Linked DNA regions of Lepisosteus oculatus. Each later gene encodes a partner of the first gene's protein in a complex. Links are inferred from orthologs where the notes say so. Each region holds a gene or a part of one and is shown in the gene's direction. Other genes may lie near its edges.

What was found.
Region 2: prpf19 (region 1) and xab2 share a complex: the UniProt entries of both Homo sapiens proteins name them as parts of the XAB2 complex. The link is inferred for Lepisosteus oculatus from reciprocal best matches to the Homo sapiens genes PRPF19 and XAB2.
Region 3: prpf19 (region 1) and ppie share a complex: the UniProt entries of both Homo sapiens proteins name them as parts of the XAB2 complex. The link is inferred for Lepisosteus oculatus from reciprocal best matches to the Homo sapiens genes PRPF19 and PPIE.

What each region holds. Positions count from the first base shown.
Region 1 is NC_090701.1:41,961,225-41,968,696, reverse strand, and holds the start of prpf19 (pre-mRNA-processing factor 19), read left to right. Parts: upstream 1-4,080; 5' UTR 4,081-4,247; coding exon 4,248-4,266; intron 4,267-4,909; coding exon 4,910-5,059; intron 5,060-6,817; coding exon 6,818-6,894; intron 6,895-7,079; coding exon 7,080-7,221; intron 7,222-7,309; coding exon 7,310-7,383; intron 7,384-7,472. UniProt on the Homo sapiens protein: Ubiquitin-protein ligase which is a core component of several complexes mainly involved pre-mRNA splicing and DNA repair. Required for pre-mRNA splicing as component of the spliceosome.
Region 2 is NC_090706.1:14,358,674-14,366,277, forward strand, and holds the start of xab2 (pre-mRNA-splicing factor SYF1), read left to right. Parts: upstream 1-4,205; 5' UTR 4,206-4,296; coding exon 4,297-4,332; intron 4,333-5,271; coding exon 5,272-5,420; intron 5,421-6,574; coding exon 6,575-6,698; intron 6,699-6,926; coding exon 6,927-7,124; intron 7,125-7,227; coding exon 7,228-7,362; intron 7,363-7,513; coding exon 7,514-7,604. Other genes in the region: G-protein-signaling modulator 1, read left to right, coding at 600-738, 1,087-1,250, 1,654-1,815. UniProt on the Homo sapiens protein: Involved in pre-mRNA splicing as component of the spliceosome. Involved in transcription-coupled repair (TCR), transcription and pre-mRNA splicing.
Region 3 is NC_090706.1:2,460,211-2,467,836, forward strand, and holds the start of ppie (peptidyl-prolyl cis-trans isomerase E), read left to right. Parts: upstream 1-4,227; 5' UTR 4,228-4,290; coding exon 4,291-4,321; intron 4,322-6,102; coding exon 6,103-6,201; intron 6,202-6,785; coding exon 6,786-6,829; intron 6,830-7,509; coding exon 7,510-7,536; intron 7,537-7,626. Other genes in the region: pabpc4 (polyadenylate-binding protein 4), read left to right, coding at 1-180, 282-372, 681-803, 977-1,110, 1,215-1,305, 1,863-1,993, 2,765-2,857. UniProt on the Homo sapiens protein: Involved in pre-mRNA splicing as component of the spliceosome. Combines RNA-binding and PPIase activities.

The sequences.
Region 1 (7,472 bases):
AGGAACCTCTTCAAGTGCGAGTGAACCAGCTCTCCCTCATGAAGTATCTGCAGTCCAGAGGCCGCGCTCGTTTCCCAGTTAAACCAGGTTGTAGAAGATTAAATCTAAGACGACGAAAAGGTTGCTAAAAAGACTCCCGAAAAACTTAGAACATCAACTGAAACTCAGCGGCGATTTATGTATTTTATTAAAAATGATATATCCTGGTATAAGATGCGCCTCTGTCACAGCCTGCACAACCTTGTCTGGACTGCTGAGCCACACGAAGGCACAGTTCACTGGGAGATAAAATAAAGTCGCACTGAAATCTAAAACACCACATTAAGCCGCGACCTTCTGCGGCTAAAAATAGATATCTTTAAAAAAATACACAGCTGGCGCTGGAGAAGAGAGTTTTGTGCAAATGGAGGTCTGTCTTCAGTCCAAACGAGGGCTCCTTAATGTAGCTTTCGATCCGGGTTTAACTACTTGTTGCTGTTTTAAAGAAGTAATATTTTTTTTTAATTAAAGGCTGACGATATCGGAAAAAGCGAGTTAAAACAGCGAAGCAATTAAAAGTTCGGCTAACTAAGCGAGCAAACACGGGCAATGTTTAGGACGCTCCTATCGCTAATATTAGTTACCGCTACAATGTTAGAAGCCTTCTGCTGAGCTGTATCTCCTTAAACGACCTGAGCCACCCCGCCCCGCCCTACCCGCCAGACTAAAGCGGAGTGACTCACACAGTATGCATGTTAAATTGGAGCCAAGCCCGTGCCTGGCGAGGGGCGTTGGAGCACCGTTGCATTTCGGGAGTTGTAGTTTGTGTGCAATTGAATTCCAAAGTAAACTTTATTATTGTCATTCCCTAATGGCAAATGGACAGCGTCCAGTACAGGACTACAACATATTCTGTGAGATGTATGAGACGTAAAACCGAGGTCCCGACTCTCTGCAGTTAAAAATCCCAGGACGTTTCTCGAAAAGAGTAGGGGTGTAACCCCGGCGTCTTGGCCAAATTTCCCATTGGCCCTTATCAATCATGGCCTCCTAATAATCCCCCTCTATGAATTGGCTACATTACTCTGCTCTCCTCCCCACTGAGAGCTGATGTGTGGTGAACGTTGTGGCGCACTATGGCTGCTGTCGCATCATCCAGGTGGATGCTGCACATTGGTGGTGGTGGAGGGGAGTCCCCATTACCTGTAAAGCGCTTTGAGTGGAGTGTCCAGAAAAGTGCTATATAAGTGCAAGCAATTATTATTATCATTATTACTATTATTATTATAACCTCCCGGGAGGTTAGATCTCTGCCACGCGATAGCGGGGCTCTCACACCGATCCTGCAAAACTGCCTCCGCGCCTCCGCCGCCCCCGTCTTAACAGACTTCCCAACCCGTGCGGGTCCTGACCCGAGGGCCCCTGGCTTTAATTCACACACTGCGTACAGCACCTCTGGGTCACGAGTCAGCCAGCTGTGCCGTTACACACTGCACTGCCCTCCTGCAGTCAGGCCCTGGGCTGCGGGGCACTGCCATGCCACCCTGGTGCCACCCTCGGCCACCTGCTTCCCCGCACCGAGCTTTCCGGCGTCCTGATCTCCCCACCCTGCCCTGCCCTGCCCTCTCGGGCCCTGTGCTCCCCCGAGGAAGAGGGGGTTCCTGGTTTGGAAGAGCGGGTTGGACTCTCTTGCTCACCCACGGATCGTAATTGTGAACAAACTGGAAGAAACCTCACGGGGCGCCCCACCGCCGAGCCCCGAAACTGCTCAGCATCTTCACCGACCCCCCTCTCCTCCCCGTCACTGGCTCACCCTGATGTGCTCATTCAGACCTGTATTTAAGCTGCGTGTGAGGTGACTGGGTTTGTGGCTGTGGCTGCTGTTCTGTGTCTGTGGTTTTGGGTGACCCCTTTAAAGTCTTTGAACTGCAAGCGGAGCTGAGCTCTGTCCTCCGCGGACGGGGGCTGGAGACGGCGGCTGCGATCAGGCTCTGCGAGGCAGGAGGGGGCGTCAGTGAGAACAGGAGGACTGTTGGAATCGAGAGGCCCGTGTGCACTTCTCGTTCACTCGACTGAGAATGCTCACTGTGAGGGGACCTGTGTGTCTCTCCCCCACACCGACCCAAGACCAGATTTCAGATAAGACCACTTTATTGGCCATATACAATTTCTTGCATTTGTCTTTTCCCATACCCCAGCTTGCTCTCCATGAGACACACAGACAGGGAGCTTTTATATTTCATTATTTCATATTTCCATAGGGTCAGCTATTTATACGGCACCCCTGGAGCAGTTGGGGTTAAGGGTCTTGCTCAGGGGCCCAACTGAGTAGGATTCCTCTGCCGGCTGCGGGATTTGAACCGGCAACCTTCCAGCCACAGGAGCATATCCTTAGCCACAGAGCCACCGGTTCGCCCCCTGTTGGGTAGTTAGGAGCTAGTTGATCCCAGGATTTCATCCAGCATCCAGAAACCAGTGTATTGGTTTTAACATCATGGCTGGGAAGCTTGTTCCACACTCCCACCGCCCTTTGTGTAAAGACATGCCTCTTGACCTGACTGCAGGACCTCGTCCAGGTTCTTGAGAGAAGCCAGAGTATCGGCTTCAACGACATCAGTGGATACAAATCATCCTGCAACTCATACATCATACATAGCAGCCATATCACCCTGCAACTCACAACTGGCAACCCACTGAAGCTAAGCAGGTGTGAGCCTGGTCAGAACCTGGATGGGAGACCTCCTGGGAAAAACTAAGGTTGCTGCTGGAAGAGGTGTTAGTGGGGCCAGTAGGGGGCGCTCACCCTGTGGTCCACGTGGGTCCTAATGCCCCAGTATATTGACGGGGACACTGTACTGTAAACAGGCCCCGTCCTTCGGATGAGATGTAAAACCGAGGTCCTGACTCTCTGTGGTCATTAAAAATCCCAGGGCGTTTCTTGAAAAGAGTAGGGGTGTAACCCCGGCGTCCTGGCCAAATTTCCCATTGGCCCTTATCAATCATGGCCTCCTAATAATCCCCCTCTATGAATTGGCTACATTACTCTGCTCTCCTCCCCACTGATAGCTGATGTGTGGGGAGCGTTCTGGCGCACTATGGCTGCCGTTGCATCATCCAGGTGGATGCTGCACATTGGTGGTGGTGGAGGGGAGTCCCCATTACCTGTAAAGCGCTTTGAGTGGAGTGTCCAGAAAAGCGCTATATAAGTGTAAGCAATTATTATTATTAATTATCCTGGTTTCTTCCCCCTTTCCGCTGGTAAGCGTTACAGGAGCATAAAGTCACGAACCTCCTCCACATTCAGAGACACTTTCTTCCCTGCAAACTGTCAGATTATTCAATCCATGCTGAAAAGAGAAGAAAGAAGACACAATGTTTCGGCCGTTGAGCCTTCTTCAGGTGCCGAAACGTTGCGTTTTCTCTCTTCTCTTTTCAGCATGGAATAAACCTATTACTTGTTCCATTGCAGCCTACGCATGCTGACGCAGCTCCCCACCTGAACTACTTCAGATTATTCAATTCTACCTCTACCACTGACTCATACTGACGTTTTTTTTCCACATTTCTTGTGCTGACTTGTATTTTAAATTGTATGTGATTTCACTTCACTGCTGTTCTGTGTTTATATTTTGGTGTTTCCTCAATGTCTTTGTATTGGAGCATACATGCAAACAAGCATTTCATTGCACTCGTGCATAAGACAAGCGAACTCAGCTGAACTGGGCCACTTGTTCCACACTTGGTTTCTTTCAAGAAACAGCTGGATGGGATTGTAGTGCTAATAGCTTCTACCAACCCAATGGGTTAGACGTAACATTTCTTAGGATGGCCTGCAAGCTCACACGTTCACTGGCTTTCCCACTCTAGTCGCATACTGCTAACAGAAATTTCTTTTAGCCAATGAAAATGAGAGTACCTGGCGCTCTAACGACAACCTTTCTCTCGACCCAGAAGGAGGCGGGCCTGTAAGTCGTGATTCGCCTGTGGATTGGCTCAATTTGTCAAATGGGCGGTGTCGGAGGAGCATCGCGCCGAGTAAGAACACCTGTCATTGGTCAAGATGTGGGAGAAGGCGGGGCTGGAGGACCGGGAGCTCTCGGAAGCTATCCCAGCATGCCGAGCGCGCCGCGGCGGTACTAAGTCGCGCGGCGTGTTGTTGCAGAGTTGTAATTCGCTGGGGCAAGTGTGTAAAAAATAAATCAAATCTACCGAAAGGACAGCGGAGATCTCCAGCACCCGATTCCGTTGTTGGCTGGAGGGTTTGAATCATGTCTTTCGTTTGTGCTAGTAAGTCCTGGCCGCCGGGAAAGCTCGGAAAAAAAGAGTTTCATTGTGAAGTAAAGACGCGTTGTAAATGTCGGCACGCAGTCGAGTTTTCCAGGGCTTGCGGCGATACACATCGTGAATTTGCCGATAGTAGCAGCAGTAGCGTGGGTTTCGTGTGTTGTGTAGAAAAAGCCTGTGTTTCTGGGAATGTTTTGGGTGCGCGAGTTGAGTTGAGGTGAGGTGGGAGTGTGGGTCGGGGGAGGTGACGGAAGTTCGTTTCTCTCCCGTGTTGCAGTCTCTGCGCCTCATCGCTGCTTATTGAGACGGGTTTTTCTGCCTAAAAGTAACATCGGCGGCGGCAGGATTGTGCCACTGCACGTGTGAGCCCACAGTCCTGCGTGAGGCTCCCCCACTCGAGAAGGGAGCTGTGCAAGGGTCCTCTGGCCTTGCAGTTCTGATGGTAACAGTACCTGCTGCCTGGGCACAGGCGGGTTTGTGCGCCGCAGGGCCTGATGCAGACGTTCAAAGACGACTGCTTTTGTTTTCCCGGATGATTTTCAGAGAGGCCGTTACCCTCGTGGGTTAACAGCCGTGTCTGTGTTGCCGTGGGAGGGGGGGTTGTGTGAACTTCAGTGGACACTGACTCCGTCTTGCTCTCCCCCAGTCTGTCACGAGGTGCCGGAGCACCCCTGCGTGTCCCCGGTGTCCAACCAGGTGTTCGAGCGGCGGCTGATCGAGAAGTACATCGCGGAGAACGGCGCTGACCCCATCACCGGCCAGCCGCTGTCCGAGGAGCAGCTGGTGGACATCAAGGGTGAGGCTTCTGTGTGTCTGCTGTCCCTCTATCACTAATCCCAGCCCCAGTGCTGTCCAGCTGCTGGACATCAAGGGTGAGGCCTCTGTGTGTCTGCTGTCCCTCTATCACTAATCCCAGCCCCAGTGCTGTCCAGCTGCTGGACATCAAGGGTGAGGCTTCTGTGTGTCTGCTGTCCCTCTATCACTAATCCCAGCCCCAGTGCTGTCCAGCTGCTGGACATCAAGGGTGAGGCTTCTGTTTGTCTGCTGTCCCTCTAGCCCTAATCCCAGCCCCAGTGCTGTCCAGCTGCTGGACATCAAGGGTGAGGCTTCTGTGTGTCTGCTGTCACTCTATCACTAATCCCAACCCAGTGCTGTCCAGCTGCTGGACATCAAGGGTGAGGCCTCTGTGTGTCTGCTGTCCCTCTAGCCCTAATCCCAGCCCCAGTGCTGTCCAGCTGCTGGACATCAAGGGTGAGGCTTCTGTGTGTCTGCTGTCCCTCTATCACTAATCCCAGCCCCAGTGCTGTCCAGCTGCTGGACATCAAGGGTGAGGCTTCTGTGTGTCTGCTGTCACTCTAGCCCTAATCCCAGCCCCAGTGCTGTCCATCTGCTGGACATCAAGGGTGAGGCTTCTGTGTGTCTGCTGTCCCTCTATCACTAATCCCAGCCCCAGTGCTGTCCATCTGTTGGAGATCAAGAGTGAGGCTTCTGTGTGTCTGCTGTCAATCTAACCCTAATCCCAGCCCCAGTGCTGTCCAGCTGCTGAAGAGCAGCTTGTAGACATCAAGGGTGAGGATTCTGTGTGTCTGCTGTCAGTCTAACCCTAACCCCAACCTCGTCTGCTGTCCAGCTGCTGTCTGAAGAGCAGCTCGTGGACATCAAAGGTGAGGTGTGTCTTGCCATCTCCCACGCTGCACTGCTGGGATGCCTGAGCAGCTCGCTGCTGTAGGAGGCGTGAAAGATGAACCTCAGCACTGTGTTCTACCGCATGGCTGACCCGGTAGGGAGCTACGTCCTGGGAGAGGTGGATCTAGCCGAGCAGCGCGGGGAAGGGTCCTTTTCCGCACAACATCGTGTCCTCCTGCACGGCCGGGGAAGGCTGTCGGCAGACCTGAAAGCACACGCGTGCTTGCTGTTCCTGCTGATGTAGCGGGGCTCGGAGTGCTCAGCCCCTTCTGACTCGTGCACAGTGTCAGACTCGGCCGTGGAGTTATCCCCTGTCTCCGCAGCGGCCGAGAGCTGCTGGGGTCTAATCCCAGCAGGGGCAGGGAGAGCTGTAGCTTCTTTCGCCCCTGGAAGTGCTGCATTGGAGCCTTCATGTTGGACTGAACACTTCCACTGGAACAAATGCATGTATATCATGATTCCTTTCCCGTCCAACCCTTCTACTTACTAACTGATCCGAGGATCTCGGCCTGCAGTTTCTTTAAAGAGTCCAGGGTATCGGCTTCAACGTCATAGCAGGGCGGTTTGTTTTACACTCACACTCCCACTCCCACTCGTAAACTAGCTTTAGTGAAGAAAGAAGTTTGTTCCAGGTCCCTGGTGTCTGAGCCTTGGGGTCTTATTTGTGTTCTTGGCTTATGCAGAAGCAAGCCTTGTGTACTGCTAGAGACTTCAGAAAAAAAACCCATTAAGTACAGTCCAAACAGTTTCTGATTTCTGTGCTGAAGGAATCGAGATCCTGATGCGCGGAGCTCCCACTGCTGGTGTCAGCAGGACCTGTCGAGTTCCAGAGGGACCGTCTCTATTAACCACCCTCTCTCTCTTTCAGTCTCTCACCCCATCAGGCCCAAGGCTCCGTCTGCAACCAGTATTCCTGCCATTCTCAAGGCACTACAGGATGAGTGGGTGAGTTTCTCAGTGTGTCTGGACTGTATTAACCCCTCTCTCAGTGCAGTGTTAATGTACTGGAGTGTCCAGTCAGTGTGTCTGGACTGTATTAACCCCTCTCTCTCAGTGTTAATGTACTGGAGTGTCCAGTGAGGGTCTGTCGTGTTTTATTTGCTGTAGTAACTCCACTGTCTGTCTTTCAGGATGCAGTGATGCTGCACAGCTTCACTCTCAGACAGCAGCTGCAGACGACTCGTCAGGAGCTGTCTCACGCCCTGTATCAGCATGATGCCGCCTGCCGTGTCATTGCCCGGCTCACCAAGGAGGTCACCGCTGCCAGAGAAGGTACAGCTCTCAGTGCCTTTTGTCTGGTCGCCTGTTGTCGTTCATCCTTGTTAGACATCAAACTGATAGCTCCCTGCTTTCTCTGTAGCCCTGGCGACGCTGAAGCCTCAGGCGGGATTGGTGGTTCCACAGGCAGTGCCCGCCTCCCAGCCCACTGCCGCAGTGAGTCATTGGTTAAACGACCTGCCTGTCAGTGTAAAGTTACCCGGGATGCGTTGTGTGAATCGATGTGACGAGTGTTTGTTTCTCTC
Region 2 (7,604 bases), on another chromosome or scaffold:
TGAGTAATCAACAGAGATGCTGTGTTCTTCTATTCATCGCTTCTGGGTCTCCTTCATGAAAGCCTGGAGAAAATCTGGAAGGTTTTCAGGGGGAGGTGTCAGATCTAACGTGTGCTTCGGTTAAGAAAACTAACTCAGTAAATTGCTTATTTTGCTTATAAAAATAAAATGAGCTGGAAGACTGTAGATTAAAAACAATGGAAGTTGTGCCACTGGGATGGGTTTGCTTGCTTAGGTGTCTCATAATAAACTTTGCATTCTGATTGGCTGGCCAATTTAATCGTAACCACTGATAGGCTACCACTATCAACATTTTTGTAGTTTGCTAATTGGTCAATCAATGCTGTTAATCTGAATGGGAAGAGTGCTGATTGGCTACTTGGGCACTGTGTTATATTGTTATGTGCACACCGATGTTGAGAAGGTTAAAAAAAGGTGTCAGGATATCAAGTCCAAGACATCTGTTTGCGATCCTTCCAAGTTTAAAAGATTTAAAAACGTTTAAGAAAGTTTCTTTTTTTTATTCCCTCTAAGCAACGCATCCGTTTCTCGCTGTGGTTTTGTGAGCGAGCACTGCAGTGTCACTTTTTGTCCACTAGAGGGCAGACACCGAGCACACAGAGGCCGACAGCTTCTTCCAGCTCCTGAGCCAAGTGCAGGGAGGCCGTCTGGATGAGCAGCGCTGCCCCATTGACCTGGGCAAAACCGTCAGCACCCCCAGCGGGACCCCCACTGCTGGTGAGTACCCCCGTCGAGCGCCCCTAGCCTGGCTTCCACAAGGGTCTCCATTCTGGCCACACGGACCACACACAAACACGAATATGAGTGGAGAAACCCAGGACTCATGTCATCCTTCTTTCCATCTCTCTCTTCCTCTCTCCCTCCTCCTCTCTGTCCTCCTCTTCCTCCTCCTCCCTCCATCTCCATTCTTTTCTGTCCCACTCTCTCCCTATCTCTCCTCCTCTCTCTCTTTCTTTATCCCTCTCTCCCACTCCCTCCCTCTCTCCTCCTCTCTTCCTCCTCTCTCCACCCTCTCTCCTCCTCTCCTCCTCTCCTCCTCTCCTCCTCTCCTCCTCTCACTCTCAGGCTCTGCTGGCCCAGAGATCGATGACCTCTTTGACCTCCTGATGACCACTCAGAGTCATCGCCTTGACGACCAGCGGGTGTCGCTTGGGCCGTTGCCTTGTGGGCGTGATGAGGGGGCAGGGCAGGGGGCGGAGCAGCTCTGCAGCATGGTCTTCAAGCTGCAGGTGAGCAGCAGCAGGGTGGGCATGGAGAGGGGGCAGGGCAGGGGGCGGAGCAGCTCTGCAGCATGGTCTTCAAGCTGCATGTGAGCAGCAGCAGGGTGGGCGTGGCGAGGGATCAGGCAGGGGGCGGGGCAGCTGTGCAGCATGGTCTTCAAGCTGCAGGTGAGCAGCAGCAGGGTGGGCGTGGCGAGGGATCAGGCAGGGGGCGGGGCAGCTCTGCAGCATGGTCTTCAAGCTGCATGTGAGCAGCAGCAGGGTGGGCGTGGCGAGGGATCAGGCAGGGGGCGGGGCAGCTCTGCTGCATGGTCTTCAAGCTGCAGGTGAGCAGCAGCAGGCAGTGCCTAGGGGCCACAGCGCCATGAACCCGCGTTTTAAACTGCCTGTTTCTGCCCTGTGTTGCACGCAGGGGTCCAGGATGGAGGACCAGCGCTGCCCCACTCCCGGGGCCCCCCCAGGGCCGCCTCGACCCCCCACATCCTCGGGGCCCATCGCTCCTGGAGATGACTACTTCTCCTTCATCAACCATGTTCACACGGCACAGCTGGGAAAGAAAAAGACACGTCCATGAGAGGGACTTGGGGGGGCTGGGGAGAGGGGGGAGAGAAGGCACCGAGGGAGAAGGCACTCAGGGCTTTCTACGCAATAAGAAGGAGGCTCTTCAACATCAACCCACCAACAAGAATCTGGCTCCAAATATTTGAAAGTGTAATCCAACCCATTGCCCTATACGGCAGTGAAGTGTGGGGTCCCCTCACAGACCAGGATTACACTCAATGGGACAAACACCCCACAGAAACTCTGCACATGGAGATCTGTAGAAACATCCTCCATGTGCAGAGAAAAACACCAAACAACGGGTGCAGGGCTGAATTAGGCCAGTACCCACTATTGATAAAAATACAGAAAAGAGTATTAAAGTATTGGCTACACCTAAAAAACAGAGACCAAAATTCCTACCACCACAAAGCCCTACTGAGCCCAAAACAGAGCCCCCTGAGCCAGCTGGTCCTGAGGCTCACTGACCTGATCCACACCAACACTAACCAGCATCAGGATAGTACTGCAAGAGCACCACAACTCAGACTCAGCCATATCACAGCACAGATCAGACAATAATATCTCACACACTGGGACACACACACAAATACAACATAAACTGGAATGCTACAGAACCCTAAACAGACAATACACACTAGCCGAATATTTGACCAAGGTAAGAAACAACAAACAGAAACAGACCCTGACGAAGTACAGGCTCAGTGACCACAGCCTGGCTATAGAAACTGGGCGACACAGGCAGACCTGGCTGCCCAGAGAGGACAGGTTGTGCTCCCACTGCCAGCGGGGAGAAATAGAGACAGAGGTGCACTGTACTGTGACAAATACTCTGGGATTAGAGAAACATTCTTCCCGAAATTCAGAAATCTAGGCCCACCTGCCAGAATCACAACAGGTCCCAATCCTACTGGGAGAGGGAGGAGGGAACTCAGCTGAACTGGCAGCCCAGTATGTGATCTCCTGTCACAGCCTGAGGAACAGTGAGTCTGTCTCCCAATAATGCTAATTATGTTTACAGTATATGTAAATATTTTATGATATGTCTTTGTTGTAAATGTCTGTAATATGTCTGTAGATTTTACTTTATTTTTAATTTGTGTTCTGTTTCATCTTAATTTTATTTTTATTTGCTTTGGCAACACTGATTGTACTGCTAATAAAGCACCTTGAATTGAATTGAATTGAAATTGGGAGAGAGAGGGAGGAGAGAGGGAGAAAGAGAAAGAGGAGAGGGAGAGGCACAGGGAAAGAGAAGGACTTGTTCCTCTGGAGATCTCACTCTGTTTTTTGCGTATAGAAGCGTTAGATATACATTCTCCTGTCCTTGTCGTCAGTGTTTTGTAGTGAACTGTGGTGAATTGTGAGACTGGCCCAGGCTGTGGTTCAGGGCTTGAAGAATGCAGTGCACTGGGAGGGACACTGGTCAATCTGAGAGGAGGGCAGTCTGTATGACTTTCTGTATCTTCACTCCTAACAGCACAGAATATAAACTCCACAGCTGATGCACAAGAGTGTCCCTGAGTGTCTCTTTCTCCACACACTGCAGCCAGCTAGTGAAACCTCAAACAATCCCTGAACAGGCCAGTAACTGCCACCTCACCCTTATCAAGGAGACACTCATTTTAGTGGGGAGAGAGAATCAGGAGTGCATGACACACAACATGCCTGGTTGTTTTTTTGTTTAGTTTTATCCTGGATTTTATTTTAACTGTGCTCTTTTCGTTCTTGTTAATTCTCTGTGTATTCCACATCCACGACTGCAGCTCCAATCTTGGGCAAGACCCATTGTGAAACTCATACTGCTCCTGTTCGAGAGGCCCCGCAGTGACGTCTTTAGTCTGGCGTTCCAGAGTTAGAAAGCTCTGTGTGTTCCCCTCTACATTCTCTGCCCCCGATTTCCATCTTGCGATGCAGGTGTCTTGTCTGTGGCCAGGCCCAGACTATGGATCATGGGCAACACACAATGGACCTATACTTTAGATCACCACTCCTGGATAGTGTTCACTAGCTATAATCGCACCTCAGATAATCTTCCTTATTAAGGTTTTAAGGAATTCGACGCTTTGGGATGTTTTATCATCTAACCATTTAAAACAATGTTTTAATAATATTTTGCTTCCAAATTTCACATGTGGAAAAAAGCTTAACAAAACCATAATTACCAATCACACCCGAAGAAGGCTCCACAGTCGAAACGTTGTGCTTCCTTTCTTCTTTTTTCAGGATGGAATAAACCTTTAACTTGCTCCTTTGCATCATTATCAATATTCAGTTACATTATGTACACAGTACACTACGTCGTAGTACGTAACTTTCATACGTAGCGGGGCTTACCAAGACAAGCACGGTCATTGGCTGTCAGGATGACGCAGTGTGAATTGTCCAATGAGATTCCCGCAGTGGGCGGTGATTGGGGGATTCGTCGGTAGCGCGTTCTGGAAGTTAATTTATCACGGAATTTCAAACTTAATTTTGTTTTATACCATACATAATGCCGTCATTAACGGAAAAACGAGAGGTCACATTTGTAAGTAGGATTTTGTAAAGTCTTATTATTATTAACTGGAAAGTGTAGCTGTCGGGCCGTAGCGTGATTTTGAAGCTTGTTCCCCCCGTAGGCCTCGGTTGAGCCTCGGACTTGCCTGAGTCAGTGTAGGGGGGACGAATGCGTCCTGTTCTGGCGTGAGGGCTTTACGGATAGGGGGTCATCATCGGCATGGGCATTGTTAAAAGTGGGAAACTTGAGAGATGTGTACTTAAATTGAGACGCAGACCGCAGTTTCTCCAATTAATGTTTTTTTACTAATTTCAGATACACGTCTGCAGCGATTAAACAGTGACCAACACACGACTCGGATCTTTAAACAATCTTAATTTATTACTCAACAATTACGTTTGAAAGAATCAGCTTCATTCCTAATATCCCTCAGAAGACTTTGCATTTATGCAGTTTTCAGGCAGCATTTTAAACGCTCAGCTCGCAACTCGTCAAACGCGTGATGGGTTTTAAAAAGCAACTGGTGTATCGAAGAGGTAGACACGACTGACGGTACTTCTCCCCCTTTGTTAAATATGTACCCATACATACCAATACTTATCCGTGTCCCCTCTTCCCCCCTGCCCGTGTCTCTGTACACCCGTGATCTCTCTGAAGGTGCTGGATGATCACTGGGATAAATACAAACAGTCGTTTTCGCACAAACGTTTGATAAGGGGGAGCTGGGATCAGAAGGAACGGTGGTGTTTGCATTTTCGAAGACGCTGTTTTGCTCGCAACTTGTAACTTTTCCAACTCTCCTTCGTTCTGTCTCTCTCCCTCCCCCTCCTTCTGTCTGTCTTCCTCACTCCTCTCTCTCCCCGTCCTTCTGTCTCTCTTTCTCTCCTCCTCCTCCTCTGTCTCTGTCTCATTCTGTCCCTCTCTCTCCCCCCCTGTCTGTCTTTCTGTCTGCTGTCTGCCGGTCTGCAGGAGGAAGAAGACCTCCCCTATGAAGAGGAGATCATCCGGAACCCCTACTCCGTCAAGTGCTGGATGAGGTACATCGAGCACAAGCAGAGTGGTCCCAAGAGCGTCCTCAACATGGTGTACGAGAGGGCACTGAAGGAGCTGCCCGGCAGGTGAGGCCCGGCTCGGCCCGGCTCGCTCCCCCCCGGGAGACACAGACAGACTCTGCCCAGGGACCCGAGTTCAGAGAGGTCAGCTTGTTCGGTAGCTCGTTGACCCTGGCGTCTCATCACCAGCCCATTTCCTGAAGGATCCCTGGCATCCTGCTTTGACCGTGTGGCTGGGGAGCTTGTTCCACACCCCCACCTCCCTTTCTGTAAAGACGAGCGCTTTAAGACTGAGTCTGCTTGTAATCAGCCAGCTAGGTCCTGTGAAATAACTTTATGGAGTATTCTGCAGGCACGCCAGAAGTGACTGAAACCTTTGATCCTTTGAGAATTCACTTAGACAAGAGCCCATGAGTTAATTAATTGAAGGAAACCGTAGCATTCGCTTCAACAGCATGTCAGGGTAGTTTGTTCCTGACTCCCGTGATATTCTGTGTAGAAAAGCGCCTCCTGTTCTCGGGTCTAAATGCTGTGCCCAGTTGTGTTCTCTGGTTCGTGTTTCGCTGTTGGTTCTGAAGAAGTCCGCTGCGATAACGTGCAGTCTGCTGCATGTGTATGTATGTGCTCCGCTGACACTGATTGAGCCTGGGCTGTGTCAGTAGCCAACTGTGATCATGACTCCTCAGAGGGGACATCACGACTGACTGAGTGAATTCTGGTTTAGGGGTGCCACGGGCCTCAGCTGTGCTTCCTGGGGCCTGCTGCCCCCAAATGGCTTTCACAGGCCGTGGGTGTGTAGGACTGTTGTGCCCACAGGTTTCTCCCTGGGTGGTACTGGGGCTGATTTCTAATCACTGGGGTATTCAAACAGAAAGTGACCACAAAGAAAATCTCTTCAGTCACTATATTCAAAATCTAGAGACAGATCTTGAACATTTAATATCAAACCTTCAGGTTAAAAGGCTGGTATTTTGTTGCGGTTATTTTGTGCAGCATTCAGGGTTGGCAAGCCAAATCAACCATTATAACCACAGCAGCATTTCTAAGCATAATGAAGCAAAGGCCTTCGATTCCGGAGTTACGGTAATCGTTTTGGGACAGGAAGGCACGTAGTTGAGGGGTGAAGCGAAGAGCAGAATCTAAATGCAGTTCAAGTTGTGCAGGTGAGGAGTTTTTCACCTCTCAGTGGTTGCTGATTAAAGTCCCGGCTGTCTCTGCAGTTACAAGCTGTGGTACAACTACCTGAGGGAGCGCAGGAAACAGGTGAAGGGGAAGTGTGTCACCGATCTGTCCTTCGAGGAGGTCAACAACTGCCACGAGAGGGCGCTGGTCTTCATGCACAAGGTAGCGGCCCGTCAACCAACCACAAGATCTGTTCCGTCCCGTCTGCGTTTCCTCGGGAGTAGGGCTTTATTCTGGTACCCGACCAGTTAAAAACCTTGCAGAGAGTTTATGAGAGGCAAACCGGTTGCCCCCTCCAGAAAAACTGCCTGTGTCTCAGTGAGCACGTTGGAGGAGCAAGAGTGCAGTGCTTGTTCTGAAGGAGCCTCTCCCGTCTCTCTCCTCTCTCAGATGCCGCGGATCTGGCTGGATTACTGCCAGTTCCTGGTGGATCAGTGCAAGATCACGCGCAGCCGGCGGACGTTCGACCGCGCGCTGCGGGCGCTGCCCGTCACCCAGCACTTCCGCGTCTGGCCGCTCTACCTGCGCTTCGTCTGCCGCTACCCGCTGCCCGAGACGGCCGTCAGGGTCTACCGCCGCTACCTCAAGGTGAGCGCGCCGCCGCCGCCGCCGCCCCCCTCCCCCGCGGGGAGAGCCGAGGGCTCGGCCCGCAGCGCACGGGAAGGGGGCCTGACTCTCTGTCTCTGCGCAGCTGTGCCCGGAGAACGCGGAGGAGTACATCGAGTACCTGCGGTCAGTGAACCGCCTGGACGAGGCCGCGGTTCGCCTGGCCGCCATCGTCAACGACGAGACCTTCGTCTCCAAGGAGGGGAAGTCCAACTACCAGGTGGGTGTCGTCTTCAGCTGTCTGCTTTCCGCTCTCGCGCTTCCCTGGCACAGAGGTGAATCCGTGAATCGAGCCCCCCCCCCGAATCCCGGTGGTCCGGGTGTGACCCTGTTGTGTGTGTGTGTGTAACTGTCCTCTCCTCGTCCCGCAGCTGTGGCACGAGATGTGTGACCTGATCTCCCAGAACCCCGACAAGGTGAAGTCCCTGAACGTGGGCGCCATCATCCGCGGGGGGCTGACGC
Region 3 (7,626 bases), on another chromosome or scaffold:
GGGCGCATCGTGGGCTCCAAGCCGCTGTACGTGGCGCTGGCTCAGCGCAAGGAGGAGCGCAAGGCTCACCTCACCAACCAGTACATGCAGCGCATCGCCGGCATGAGGGCCATGCCCGCCAATGCCATCATCAACCAGTTCCAGCCCGCCGGCGGCTACTTCATGCCCGCCGTGCCACAGGTGCGGGGGAGAACGGGGGTGAAATGAAGCGTGGGGGTGTTTGTGCCCCCCGCGAGCTGGGGAAAGGTCACGTCTGCTTTACCTGTGTGTCTTTCTTCCAGGCCCAGAACCGAGCGACGTACTACGCGCCAAATCAGCTGACACAGATGAGGCCCAACCCACGCTGGCAGCAGCAGGGGGGCCGACCACAGGGTGAGGAGCTCTGAGCCCCCGGGGGTGAGGGGTGGGCGGGAGTGAAAGAGGAAATGGACTGTCCCGTTTTTCAGAGGGGTGGTGACCATGTGAAGCTTGAATCCTTTTGTGCTGGAAGCACCAATACATCTGCGATGCCATCGATTTTAACTGCACGTACTTTAAACAGGATAAGCAAGAGAATGCATACTGTCTGCCAGTTCACCTAATTTCCCTGCTCAAGCTCTTATCATAAATACTCCTGGGTGAGCAGAGACGCAGAGAGCTCCTTCCCTTCATCTCCTCCCCCTCTGTCCTTCCCCCTGCAGGTGGCTTTCAGGCAATGCCTGGCGCCCTGCGTCAGAGCGGGCCCCGTGCCAACCTGCGGCACCTGGCGCCCGGTTCCAGCACGCAAGGCCCCCGGGGAATCCCAGCTGGGGCGCAGAGAATGGGTAAGGAAGAGGGAAGTGCAGAAAGGGAGGATTAAAACTACGGAGCTGTGTGAGGCCTAAAAAGGTCACTTGCATTTGTCAGTTGTTGTTTTCTGATGGAAAATGAGGTCTCGGGTCAGACCTGCACTCTGGGACTGAGCTCTCGCTCTCCTGCTCTTGCTGTGTGTTTGTAGGAGGGGCTGGTCAGACCATGGGCCCCCGTCCCTCCGTGGCAGTGCCAACGCCAAGGGCCGTCCCACCCTACAAATACGCCACCAGTGTGCGCAACCCCCCGCCCCAGGTGATGCAGCCCCTCTCCCTGCAGCAGGTACGGACGGCTTCTCGGGCTCCGCTGGGGATAGACGCAGGAGGTAGTCAGCACCTACTGGTGTCGGAGGTGCCTGTCCCACACGCTCTCTCTGCCTTCCTCAGACCCAGCCGGCGGTGCACGTCCAGGGACAGGAGCCCCTCACCGCCTCGATGCTGGCCGCCGCCCCCCCACAGGAGCAGAAGCAGATGCTGGGTGATTACGAGACGCCATTGAGTGTCTTCTCACCCTCAGTGTCCTTATCGGTGCAGGAGCAGTTCCCACTTGCTGGTCGATTGGTCAGCAGCTTGGATCCAAAAAAGATGTTTAGGGATAGCTTAGTACTGAGGAGGAAGAGTTTGCTGTTCTCATCTTCTCAGCTTCATTCTCAGCTTCTCATGGATGGAGGATTCCCTCACCTCTCCCTGCTTGGGAGAAGTCAATTTCCTGTCATCCTTACTCACCTCTCATTTTCAACAAAATTACCAAAACGGGATTTTGATCAAATGTTGCACTGTATGTTACTTGCCCTTGTGTCATGATGCCTTCTGTGTGGAGCATAAGTCTGTAGAACCTACTGCTAGGGCTGACCATAAATCAGAGGTAGGGTGATTTAAAACAGGTGATTCTTAGACTGGATGCTACTTTTGAACATTATAAAATAATAATAAATCAGGCGCAATAACACAAACATTAAAAAACTAGGTCTAAGGAGATCACATTTCACCCTCTTCTTCTCCTGACTCTCCTTTACTTCCTCTCTCTCAATCCAGGGGAGCGCCTGTTCCCCCTGATCCAGGCCATGCACCCCAGCCTGGCTGGGAAGATCACCGGAATGCTGCTGGAGATCGATAACTCAGAGCTGCTGCACATGCTGGAGTCCCATGAGTCCCTGCGCTCCAAGGTACGCGGCCGGCTCCACGCAGGGAAACTCAGCCGATGGATTACACTGATCATCCCAGGGGATCCCTGTACGTCTTTACCGACAGGATGGGAAAGCCTTCCGCAACCCGCCCACCTGGGTGACACACTGCTGCCCAACTGCACAGCAGGGCAGGTGGAGAAGCCAGGGACTGCTCTGCCACCTGGGGTAACAGGGAGTTTGTAGTAGGCTAGATCGTACAACTGGGATTTAACCATGGCGCTGAATCTCAGGGTCAGTGTCAGGGGCTCTTTTAAGAGTCACGTAGTTGGGACCTCGGTTTTAACATGTCATCCAATAGGACAACATCTGCTCTAGCAGAGTGTCTCCAGTCATACTGGGGCGGTGGTTTCATGAATTGTGATCCAAAGGGAAGAATCACCTGCTGGACCTCGAATCCCACATGCAGGAGCAATCTAGTTTTTCACCAGGGGTTTTCCCATTCTGGTCCTGCCAAAGCTGTAGTTTCCGAGATCAGAGGAGTTCAGGCTAGAAGGTGGCAGCATCCATTGCAGATACGTGGTCTTGAGTCTTATAAGCACTGTATTGCAATAATGACTGTTTGTCAGTGATTCAGGATCACTCATTCTTTAATAAAAGAGTCCTGGGGTCCCTTCCATGTGCTGAACGGCTGTACGAGCCCATTCCATCAAGACGGGGAAGCTGAATTGCATGCAGCCGTACAGCTGTGTGTTGTCCAGTCTTGTGTCTTGTTGTAATTGAATTATATTGCATTGCACTGCAATGACTCAGGTTGAAGAGGCCGTTGCTGTGCTCCAGGCTCACCAGGCAAAGAAGGACGCTGCGCAGAAGGTGGGGGTCATCACCACGGCTGCGACCTCCTGACGGGTAAGGGTGGCTGTGGCCGTGGAGGCTCTGCTCGGTGCCAGACTGCAGAAACCGCAACTTGGGGGGCTTCGCACCCCTCCGCTGAAGAAGAGCGACAGATCAGACGTGCTTGGCTGGTTCTTTCCTACTTTATGACAGAAGCAGATCTGCAATCTTTTCACTAGGCATTTTGTGCACCTCCCAGTATTGCCCTGGAAGCCTTCTCTGAACAGTGCTTCCCCCTATTGGCCATCACACCTAACAGCCACACCGCTGTTCTGTCTTTGGGACATTTTCCACGTTGTCCCAAACCTGCATCCTTCAAAGCAGGGGGCATCAAAACCTGTGCAAGGGCTTTTAAAATTTCCAGCGACTGCGTCTGTTATCCTGGGGCTTGCTGTGGTTTGTGCTACACTGTGACATACCATGCCTCTTACCACTCAGCTATACTTCACTCTGCTTTTGCTGTGGTACAGCATCTGATCTGATCTGATCGATACAGGAGGCAGCGGAAGATGTGCTGCGTGGTGGGGGTGGGTGGGGGGGGGGGGGGGGTGACATGTGCTTACAGAAGGGACATGGGGGGCTTTTTTCCAGGAAAGGGGAATAAAGGTTTCTTTCATTTTCCAGGCTTTTTCAAGAACTAGACCCAAAGAAGAGGGATCCAGTGGTCTTCGCTGTCGCATTTACCTGGTTCTTCCTGTAAACTGAATGCAAAAATAAAACCATACTTGAACAACTTAAAAAAAACATATAATTACAATTCTTTTAAATTATATTTTAGTAATTAATAAATGAAATATATATATATTTAAATTATATAAGTACAAGCTGAAAGGGGGATTTGTTTTTAACAAATACTATACTTGAACTGTTTGTTTCTTGTGGCCAGGACTGTTTTTTTTTCTCTCCCTGGGGAAAAAAACTTTTGACTGCAGGCTTTTGAGTTGTGGTGATTTGATTGGGATGGTTGAAACCTCCGACCCCTGTAATCCCTGGATGGTGTGACTTTCTCAATAAAGGATGAAACATTGATGAACTTGCCCCTGGGTGTGTCTCTATCCTTACCCTCTCGTTCCCTTCTTGTTCGCCTCGTCTTATCCTCTTGTTAGAGGGCAACACCAGTTTTTCCACGGGAACCGTAAAATGCATCTTTTTTTAAAACAGTTTGAAGCGGACAAACAAATCCCACAGTACTGAAATTCATCCAGCGACACAACCTACTTGATGTCTTTTTAGCCGCCAATCTTCAGCGGTCATATAGGCTCAAAACAAAAACTACGGCAATTTAAAAATGGGTGTAATTTCTGCCTAACACTGAACTCGGACGCGCACAATCTCACGGATCTATACTGAACCACGTGTGGGACTTACTGCCGCACGGAACGGACATCTGAAGGAGTTGCACAGGAAAGGGCGGGGTTTATGTTGGGTCAAAGGGCACAGTGAAGATGGCGGCCGCCAAGCGTGTGCTGTATGTTGGTAAGTTGTTTAAAAAACTGCTTTTGTGAATTGTATGAAGAAATAAGAAAGTTTGAATGACATTTTACTGCTCTGTAAGATACGGTTCTTTCTTTGTCTTAGTCTTGAAGATTAGGTTTCAATAAGTGTTAATGGTTTCTTGGTGAACTCATTCCTTGATCCCCAATGCCCATCTCACCATAGTGTCTTTTGATAAACACTTTGTTTTTAATTTAAAGGATGAATTGCAAAAGCATGCCGTGCATTTAAAAAAATAGCCCTGGCTGGCAGCGGTACCTCTAGCAGATTCAAACGATGAGCGGGACAATGACGTAATTAAAGCGACAGATTACAGTTGCACTTTACTATGTTTTGTGAAAAGCTTGACCACCACATGCGTATCCCTTAAATGTCGATTGTTTTTATTCTGAATGGTTTATTTCTGTTCAGTTTTAGTCTTTTGCTGTTTGAGACGCTTGTCAGCCCCGATTTAAGTTGACATATTGGGAAAACACCGACTTGATGGTTGCACCCAGGCACTATTTGAAGTCCTTTGAGTACTCTTGTGGACTATTGTATGAGTTGATGATCACGCCCAACTTGTCTACTTCTCAGAAAGCAATATGATAGAAACAAGTGTTAGCTTAACAGACGTTTGCTTAAATTGATGTTTTGTTAAAATGATTGGTAAGTCGAGATAAAAGTGAGTGAAAGGATATAGTAAAACTGGTAAATGTTTTGTGTGGATGTATAGTTATACTGTATACTGTTTTTGAGTAGCTAAGTCTGAAACACACATTTAGTCTCACTTCTGTTCTACAACCTCCTTTTATTTCATTGATTCTCATGGAAAAAGCCCCTGTGTGCTAGCTCACATGGGCAAAAATCCTAACCTCCACGTTTACCTTGTTCTTGCGTTGTTCTACTGGGGAGCAATCCCCCTATATATCCCATTAGGTCCCTAATGCCGGCGTCACACTACGTGACTTTTCCTAGGATTTTCAGTTGTAGCCTTCATGTACACGATCGGAAGAAACTCACAGCGAGTTGTAGAGTCGCAGTGTGCGCCCGTTACCGTCAGCTGTGTAGTGTGACACCCCCAGCGACTCAGTCATAGCGCTCTTAACAGCCCCCACCACTCTCTGCAACTCGCTACGATAAAATCACACCGTTTGATTTTCTGGTAGCGAGTCGCAAGTCGTAGTGTTGTGCAGTGAGCCAGGTGTGTACTCGTGAGATAATGTGCCCATTATATTACACGTTCTAGCGCAATACTAATTTGTTTACACTATTTGTTTTAAAGGTGTTTTATATTTTTAACTGTTTTATTTTTGTAAATTCGTTCTATATTTATAAAGAAGAATGATATTTTTGAAGGGGTCTATTTGTGGAAAACAATGCCTGTGTCACCCTTGTCAGGATGTTTCCGTGCTCGTCCTCCATGTTGTTTGTTTACTTTCGCGCGGCGCTCCTCCTCCTATTCCAGTGTGCTCTACGTTGATGGGCTGCCAAAACGAGGGGACCCCACGGTACTTTTGCGGTGCAACACGAGATTTGAAACTGTGATGAAACGTCGTGAGGGAATCGTGTAATTAGTCACCCCCTGCTTTTCCTAGTCGTATAATTTGACGCCCTCTAGGACAGAAAAGGCAGCGAGATTCAGCAGCTGCAGTCGTTAAATTTGACATGCTCTCTGACTAGAAGTCCGTATAGGCCTGTAGTGTGATGCCGACGTGCGGCGGGGACCCTTTACTGACGCTTGGGGATCGCCTTGGTCACGTGTGAGTCTCCCTGTCTCGCAGGTGGCCTCGCGGAGGAGGTGGACGAGAAGGTTCTGCACGCGGCGTTCATTCCCTTTGGCGACATCACCGACATCCAGATCCCTCTGGACTATGAGACAGGTTAACACACACGCTGCGAAAAATGGTTTCCCACATGTCTTGCAGAAAACGATAGGGCCGCCAAAAATTAACTGTCCAGCCTTGGAAGTAGTCTGACAGCAGTGTTGCCATTACTATAGTCAAAGGACTATCAGTTTGGTGCTAAAGGTGGTTCTGGCTGAGCAGGAGGTGCCACTCTTCCATCTGGACCAGTTTCCTAACCAAAGCTCCACACAGGTGACTGGACCTCCCCTGCTTTAGCAGGTGCCACACTTCAGATGAGATGTGAAGACCCGGTCCTTACTGCTTTGTCTTTAAAGCATGAAAGAATAGAGGTGTTCTCTACAATATCAAAGCTAAATTGCATTTGGGTTTGAATGATTTGGGTTCCCTAAAGTTCCTTTTTATTGGTTTTCCAAATAGAAACTGTGTTGAAGTCGATGCAGGTTTCTTTCATGGAACAACTGGATTTAGTCACGGGATCAGTAAGCTTCTGACTACCAAGCAGGCTAGATGGACCAAACGGCACCCTTTCGCTTGCAAACTTTGTGTTATTGTGAAATGTTGTCTGTTCTTTTAATACCTGTACTGCTCTCTGTTTGCAGAAAAGCACAGAGGATTTGCATTTATTGAGTTTGAGCTGGCTGAGGTGAGTGTTGTCTCTTGTGAGGGTCTGACTTCTTCCTAAAAACGTTAACAATTTAACTCGTAGTTGTAGTGTCTAATGTAATATCAAATATCCATCACCTCATCGTAAAAGTATCTAATGATCTTCCTGTACTTTAGAATGTTTACTCAAAAACACATTCTGATTTGTTGACTCTTCAACCTGTCTACAAAATAGTGGAGATAGTTTGGAGAGCCGCTGAATGGATCTCTCATCTGAAGTGGGTGCAGTGCAGTGATTGGCCTGTCTCTGCAGTGTCTCATTGCTTAGCTCTACAATCCTGGTCCTGGAGAGCTCCTGCAGCCTTAACAGGCATCACTAAATGCTCAGTGAGCAGAGGTTTGGACTACCCATTAAACAACTGATTGTGTCAAGCAGAAGACATTGCAGCTAGCCAGGACCAGAGTTGCAGACCCTTGCTATAAGGAGATGATAAAATTAACACTCATTTCCTTTTTTACATAATGATTTTACCAGTAAATATAGTGATCTTTTAATAGCATGGTCAGAGCAAAGAAATATTAAAAGTACTTTCACATAAGAACTTGCTCAGAAGTTTAAACAGGTTTTTTTCTTCTTCTGCCTAATTTTAATCACCCGCTGAATTTAAACTGTGCTGCTTCTGTGTTTAATTTTTTGTGTGTGTTATTTCTCTCAACCAGGATGCTGCAGCCGCCATCGACAACATGGTGAGTAAGACAGCAGCCAGCCCTCCCTTCAGTCCACTCAGTACTGTTTTTCGTGTGTCCTGTAGCACTGCTTCCTGCAATAAGGCCTTT